2 linked regions of the Oryzias latipes genome follow. The protein of the gene in region 1 purifies or fractionates together with the protein of each later gene. This does not show direct contact. Links are inferred from orthologs where the notes say so. Each region holds a gene or a part of one and is shown on either strand. Other genes may lie near its edges.

Region 1 (3,500 bases):
CTTCACCTCCTGACTATTAAAACATTTGTCCAGTCAACTTTTTTTTAATCCAGAAAAATTACAATTCCCAGAGCCCCACCCCTTCACATTTTCTATCATTGAAAATACCCAAAAGTCTTCTGTAGAAACCAAAAGAAGTTCATTCAGCAAATGCAGTGGTTGAAGATATTCAGGTTTAGAAATGTCCTCTACAAAGAAAAAAAAATTACATAGCTGGAAATCAGTAGGATATAGCAATTTCAAAAGAAAAGGAAACACTTCTTTTTTTAACTCAACAAACCAGCTTGTTAAAAGTAAACAAACTGAAGTAGACTGTATGAATTCCCTCTGAACCCACCAGGTGTGTATCTTGACTCGGTGAAGCCCCAGCCCCCCCGCCTCAGAGCAGAGCTGTCCCAGCCAGAGGGCTTCTGGCTGGTGAGGCCGGGTGGTGGCCTGGAAGGAGCTGCAACCGGCAGCGCCTTGGGAGTCAAGGGGACCTTCCAAAGCTCATGGGCTAGGGAGGAGTTGGACACAGAACCACCTCCAGGAGACCACTTTGACTCACTTGGTCTAGCTGCAAAGCAAAAGAAAACCATTTTCATTTCATTAAAACCTCCAGACCATTTAACAAAAGATCTTGTTTGTATGCCTTTTTTATAGACAGTTTCCACAATATAAGGCATACTTAAAAGCCTTCAAAAACAACTGTGTCTTCTAAACTGGAGCACCTTATATATGTATTAATTCGTATTAAATTAAGGTTCTCTGAATTATTTATTTTCACATGAGCCTTTTTTTTTTTTAAAGGATGGGTTTTAAGGCTACCTGAAGTGCTTTGTGCTGTACTGGTGAGGGAACCGCTGTGGCTGGAGGCACGAATGGATGACCAGGCACTGTTAGAAGGCATCGTGGTGTTCAGTGATGAGGGTGGCCCTGCAAACCAGAATAGCCAGGGGTTAGAGACTGGATCTATGCATACAGATTCCACTGTGTCGCCATCAGCTGATCGGTCAAAACTTGTCTGCAGCCTACCATTGTTCCTATCCCTGAGGTGATCGGTGTCACGAACTGTGTTGATGGAGAGGTTGTTGATGACACTGCCGGGGGTCACATAAGGGTCAGTCTCTGGGTCAATGTTGGGGTAACCTTTCCAAGGTTCCCCGGGTCGGAACTCTGCAAAATAATAATACAAAGCAATTACAATTTTTTATTGTACTGGATGATTACTGCATTTTACCTTTTTGAAATTTTTAGATATTACAAAATTACAAGAATAACTTCAATGAATCTGTATTTCTGAGGCAAAAACAACCTTAGCTGCTAGCTCACTGTGGTACTAATCAATGTCTGTTTTGAATCAGTGATAGAACATTTACCTGGGGGCCAGGTGACAGTGTTTGCATGGGAAGGGGGGGAGTTGGCACGGGGCGGCCAGCCATCACCCACTGAGCCTATTGGTTGGCCGGGAGGGCTCAGGGGAGGTGGACCAGGAGGCAGGAAGTCATAGAAAGGAGAGTCATCTAGACGCAAGTCAGACGAGATAGCACCTGAGAGGGAGCAAACAGACAATGGGTACAGTCAAAGACACCATCGTCTTTTTTTGTTTTTGTTGCAATTTTAATACAAAAAGTTATGGATGATCAGCAAGAAAACCAACTTTGAACACGATTATTTACATTTATTAATGTGGAAATAGAATCTAAGTAGCAAAAAAAATGTATTCAGTCCGATACATTTACCAGATTTGCTGTTCTGCTCCAGGATGTCAGTAGCCCAAAGTTTTTTGAGTCTGGACTGGTGTGGTTCTTTGTAGGTCACAGCTCCACCACTACTGCTTCCACCACTAACGGCAATATCCAGGGGTACATTCAGGTTAGGGGTCAAGCCTAATGTTAGATGAAGAGAAGAGAAGAGAAACTCTGGGTTTTGTTTGAAAGGACGAAACTTATAATAAACGTTTAATAAAAATTATAATATATACAATAAAAGAAAAGAAAGAAAAAAAAATAGAATCGGTCAATAGTTGACATACTTAAAGGGAAGTTGCCTAATGGTCCGAGAGGAGGAGCATTCTTCTGCATCTCAGATGTATTGTGGGACATGTAGCCGTCAGCATATGATTTAAGAGGTGGAGCTTGCTTTAGCAGAGATGGATCCAGGTGCCGTGGGGGCTGCATCATTGACAAAGATGAACCAATAGGACGTGTCTGGATAAGGAAACAGGAAACAAGACACTTGGATTTTGTAGAAATACCAAAGCCTTCTAGTTATTCAGAGTTTTTTTGTTGTGTGTGTGTGCACACCTGTTCAGTCGGACGACCCACCGGTGTCGCTCTCGCGTTTTGAAGCTTCTGCTGTTGTTGCTGGAGGAGCAGGCGCTGCAATCACATAACACAATGTAAGACAGAAGCAACAAAAGGTTGTTTTAGAAAGCTGGAAGTTAGGCCTAAAGGTCTATGTACCTGTAGCTGGTTGATGTGGTTCAGCTGTGACAGCTGGTTGAGCTGAGAGAGTTGGTTGAGCATAGCCACCTGCTGAGGGCCAAGCAGACCTCCATTACCCCCTGGGTACTTCAACAAGGATGGAGGGACCTGGACATCAACACAAAAAAACAAAGCAAAAAAAGCATTTTTGAGATTTTCAATGTTTTTCTTAAACTTAAAATTTATATCAGGTCATCTGCTGCCTGTTTCTTCACATCGTGCCCAAAAAAATGTTCAGCTTGGTGACACTGTTGTAAAGTACTTTTAAAAATAAAATGATTTACTTTAAAAACTACAGGAGGAGCTGCATGAGTCACCAACATGTTGAAACGTTATAAAAGTATATCTAGCATGAGGCTGCAAAGCACAAATGCGTGGTAGTCAACACATTTTACATGTTTGAATACTTTTTTTTTTTTAGTTAAACCAGCTGTTCTGTGTTCATTCAAGCACCATCAGGATTAAAGCTGGAGTCAGTCTGGGCCAGAATGTTAGTCTATTTGTTAATAAAGTCGAAACTTTATCTAATGATTTGACCTTTAGATTATGCAATATTTTTTTTAGTCTGAAATAGTTTTTAGTAGGGGTGTGTATTGGTAAGAGTCTGGCGATACGATGCGCATCCCGATGTGTCCCAGGATAAGATAAGTATCCCGATATTGTACTGGAAAACTTTTTTACTTTTTAATTTTTTTAACAGTATGACTCAGAAAAAAACTGTATCTGAATATCAATGTCTTTCATTATAATAAAATGGTACAATTCAGTTTATTTAATGATCACAATGTGAAACACTGCAACTGCTTTTACCCAAGCAACACTGCTTTTATTTTGGCAACTTAAAATATATAAAAGGGAATAGTCAACATTGTCTGATTTCCACAACAAAATATTTTTCAGTATAAAAAAAATAGAATGGATGTGCCTTAACTAATAAGGTTCTAAAAGTATGATTGAGGAAATAAAGTGATGTCTACTTTCAACATTGCTTAATGTAGCTTTTCTAGGACTTTTAAATTGTTCAAGAGCTTGAAC
Region 2 (4,102 bases), on another chromosome or scaffold:
ACACGGGGAGAACATGCAAACTCCACACAGAAAGGTCCCCCATTGATGTTCTGTTTTTCACGTCCCCCAGCCGGGACTTGAACCGGGGGCCTTCTTGCTGTGAGGCAAGAGCGCTAACCACTGCGCCACCGTGCAGCCTAAATGCAATAATATTTACTAAAAACGATTTTTTTGTAATCTTATATTAGCCACTGATTTTTTTTATTTTAGAAAAAATTACATAGTGGGAGATTGTCCCATTTTGTCTTTGTGTTGCAAATAAATAGAAGATGAGGAAGTGAAGCAACAATATGTTTATAAATAAATTATTTTGTTTTAAAAAGTACACATCCTACCTGAGGATGTGTACAAATCAAGAAAATGTGGGTCATAGTTTCAGGTTTGGCATCACAAAAAGAACCACTGGTGTCATCATTTTTGCAGCTGTGTAAAATACTTCATGCCCGAATTTATTCTCAATGTTGAAAAAACTTCCTTTGTGAATGAAGTGCTGGAGAAAATGAAATGTTATGAATTACTAACTTACGGGATGAGGGGTTAAAGGTCAAAGAAAAAGAAAAAGAATGAAATACAGATAACATAGAAAAAAATTAAACATTACAAAAATTACATAAGGTATGAAAAATTATAAGGGCATTTACACAACATATTGGTTATTGAGGGTTTGTGTTCAACAATAAAAGTTAAAGGTAAAATCTTTTTCACCCTAAATGTCCTCTAGTCCATATTTGTTGAAAATGTTTCCCTTAAAGATGTCAATCATATGCATTCTTTTTTTTCATCTTAGAGTGGTCATAAAATGATCAAAATCAACAAAAATGCGAACGTTGGATTATGATGCGTCTGTGAAAATTGTACTTTTTTATTAAAACAAGTGATTTGAAAAACGAATTTATCTCTGCATCATGTTTTACTTGAATTTAAAATGTGGCCTTTTTGGTTTCATGGCTAACATTTTTATTTGTGTAAAACTTTTTCAGTAATTTACCAAAATAATATAACTTTAGGGGCAAAAAAAAGTTTATTTTACTTTAATATAAATTGAAAAGAAAATATATTTTGTGAAAAAATAAAAAAAATCTGTACAGTATAATTTTTAAAAATAATATATCCTTTGAAAATAATTATATATACACTTTCAACGAGAGCCTGTTCACCTTGAATAAATTAGTAATTAATAAGAAATATATAACGTTTATTTGTACTTTTTAAAATTTATATATTCCTCTTTACAAACATTTATTGGAAAACCTTTTTTCACATTTTACGGATGAGGATCCTGAAACGTCCTTACGTCCTGACGTTTCACTTTACGTAATGACGTCACTGTGTGGGGTCCGCTGTGATGGCAGCCGTAGGTTGACATCAAGCCCCACTGAATATAAAAGTATTTCAAAGTTGGCGGAACACCCCCCTCCCCTCCCTGCTGACAGATATCACAGAACACACGGCCAGCTTTCAGATAGCACACGCTCAAACACGCGCGCGCCCGTTTCGGGGAACGGTGAGTCAACGAAACAAAACCTTTGCAGTCTCCCAAAAAAAAAAAAAAGAAAAGAAGTGACGCCCCGGCGTGTGTGCGCGCGCGCGCACTGCTGCTACTTACTCGTGCCTGTCCTGTTGTACAACCACTCCTGTGTAGTTGATCGAAACTAATGTTTTGTGTGAGAAAACCGCACAGTCGCCACTCCTCTTGTTCGGAAGTTTTACCTCCAACCCGCTAACTGTTAACAGGTAACAAGCTAGCAACAGTGCTGCTTTAAATTACGAGCTAGCAGGCGGCTAAAACACACATGACTTCTACTACTAACTAAGCGGCTCTTTTCATGTGGTTTCGGCTGCTTTGTCTGTGTTTTCATGATGCTCTCATCATCCCCCGCCCCCCATCTCCACGCGTGGTGAAGTGGCACTATGCCCGCAGCCACTGTAGACCACAGCCAAAGAATATGTGAGGTCTGGGCCAGTAACCTGGAAGAGGAGCTCAAGAGAATCCGGCACGTCATCCGAAAGTACAACTACATCGCAATGGTGAGAGATGCTCAGAGACCCCACCCATCCATCCACCTATCCATCCACCCACCTATCCATCCATCCACCCATCCATCCATCCATCCACCCATCCATCCATCCACCTACCCACCTATCCACCCACCCATCCACCCACCCATCCATCCACCTATCCATCCACCTATCCATCCATCCATCCACCTATCCATCCATCCACCTATCCACCCACCCATCCACCCATCCACCCACCCATCCATCCACCCACCCACCCATCCACCCATCCATCCATCCATCCATCCATCTACCCACCCACCCATCCATCCATCCATCCATCCATCCACCTACCCAACCATCGATCCACCCATCCATCCATCCACCCACCCATCCACCCATCCACCCACCCATCCATCCATCCACCCACCCACCCACCCATCCACCCACCCATCCATCCACCCACCCATCCATCCATCCATCCACCCACCCATCCATCCATCCACCTACCCAACCATCGATCCATCCATCCATCCACCCACCCACCCACCCACCCATCCATCCATCCATCCATCTATCCATCCTCCCACCCACCCACTGTCACTGGTGTCCACGGTCCCTCGTTCTTGCCTCTTTCAGGACACAGAGTTTCCAGGAGTTGTAGCCCGACCCATCGGAGAGTTCCGGAGCAATGCCGACTATCAGTACCAGTTGCTGCGCTGCAACGTGGACCTGCTGAAGATCATCCAGCTGGGCCTGACCTTCATGAACGAGCAGGGAGAGTACCCCCCCGGGACGTCAACGTGGCAGTTCAACTTTAAGTTTAGCCTCACGTGAGTCTCTCACTATGTCTAAACAGACTCGTCCGCTTGGATTCCCATGAACGACTTCACAATCTGTAAAAACAATTCAATTCAAAACACATTAAAGTCCTATATGCCTTTGATCTATTTTAAAAGCATTCCCAATCAGATTTAAATTATGGTTATTCCGTATTTTAGCCACACACAAAAAAAAGTTGTCATTTTCCTGGATATAGTTTCTGCAGTTTCTACCCTTTATTCTCCTTCCTTGTTGCTGAGAGCTCTCTGTTTACACAATCTCCCGGTAGCTTACAGCCCCCTCATACCGCCTGACCTGATATTGACCGGTGCAACAAAAAGGGCGAGCCAGCTCAGACGAGGAAGACGAAGGTTAATTTTCTTTATGTATCATCAAAAAAAAAAACCACCACCACATGTTAAGCCCTCCAAAAACACAACTTACATTTTTTTTATCAGAGGGGGTAGGCGCACAAAGGGGATTTAAATTAATCGAAGAGAAAGCATCCTGAATGAAAATAGGAGTTTTTATATTTAAAAAAAAAAAAACAGATCAAAGCTGCCTGAAAAATACAAGTAATTAATGAAAAAAATAGCAATAATGCATGCTCTAAATAGGAAGCACAGGTGTTTTTTTAATTGTTTTTTATTGTTAAACAGATGGGGTTTTTTTTTACTTTTTTTACGTAAGCTTGGGTGGCTTTTTAAAAAAAATTTTAAGTTATGTTTGTTTTGTGAATCATGTAAAACATCTAAAGATTCTTGGAGAAATCCATGGTGGATGTTCTGGGACGGAGGAGGCGGGGCTTACAGGAGAAGCATTTGTCTTTCAGAATAAGAGCGGCGCTTTCATCCCTTCTCACACGATTGGTCCCCCGTGGGTTCAACGATGCTTTTCAAAGTCAAGCGTTATTCTGTCCATCGTTCCCAAATGGAAGAATTTGCACTTTTTCCAGCATCCAGTCAGATCCTAGTCGATCTATTCCTGCCTTAAGTTTTTTTTTGAAGGTTTCCCTCTTTGCTGAGCAAACCTACAAAGTTTAAGTTTTTTAATGGTTATTCTGTGGCGTTTTGTTTGTTGTTTTTTTGGAATGAAAGCGTGAAGCTTAGAAACAGAGATGTGTTTTATTTATTTATTTCATTTATGTATTTATTGTTTTAACCAGAGAGGACATGTACGCGCAGGACTCCATCGAGCTCCTGACCACTTCAGGAATTCAGTTCAAGAAGCACGAGGAAGAAGGCATCGAGACGCTGTTCTTTGCAGAGCTGCTGATGACATC

Evidence for each region. The genes of interacting proteins can lie anywhere in the genome.
Region 2: the proteins of tnrc6a (region 1) and CCR4-NOT transcription complex subunit 7 purify together in Homo sapiens (affinity purification with western blotting; 3 studies listed by BioGRID and IntAct, with this or other methods). This does not show direct contact. The link is inferred for Oryzias latipes from reciprocal best matches to the Homo sapiens genes TNRC6A and CNOT7.

Annotation. Positions count from the first base shown.
Region 1 is NC_019866.2:17,733,710-17,737,209, reverse strand, and holds part of tnrc6a (trinucleotide repeat-containing gene 6A protein), read right to left. Parts: intron 2,574-3,500; coding exon 2,445-2,573; intron 2,361-2,444; coding exon 2,286-2,360; intron 2,190-2,285; coding exon 2,015-2,189; intron 1,869-2,014; coding exon 1,722-1,868; intron 1,530-1,721; coding exon 1,359-1,529; intron 1,156-1,358; coding exon 1,015-1,155; intron 916-1,014; coding exon 808-915; intron 557-807; coding exon 338-556; intron 1-337.
Region 2 is NC_019868.2:26,784,432-26,788,533, reverse strand, and holds the start of CCR4-NOT transcription complex subunit 7, read left to right. Parts: upstream 1-1,302; 5' UTR 1,303-1,504; exon of another isoform or gene 1,505-1,734; intron 1,735-1,904; 5' UTR 1,905-1,911; coding exon 1,912-2,028; intron 2,029-2,637; coding exon 2,638-2,831; intron 2,832-3,985; coding exon 3,986-4,102. UniProt on the Homo sapiens protein: Has 3'-5' poly(A) exoribonuclease activity for synthetic poly(A) RNA substrate. Its function seems to be partially redundant with that of CNOT8.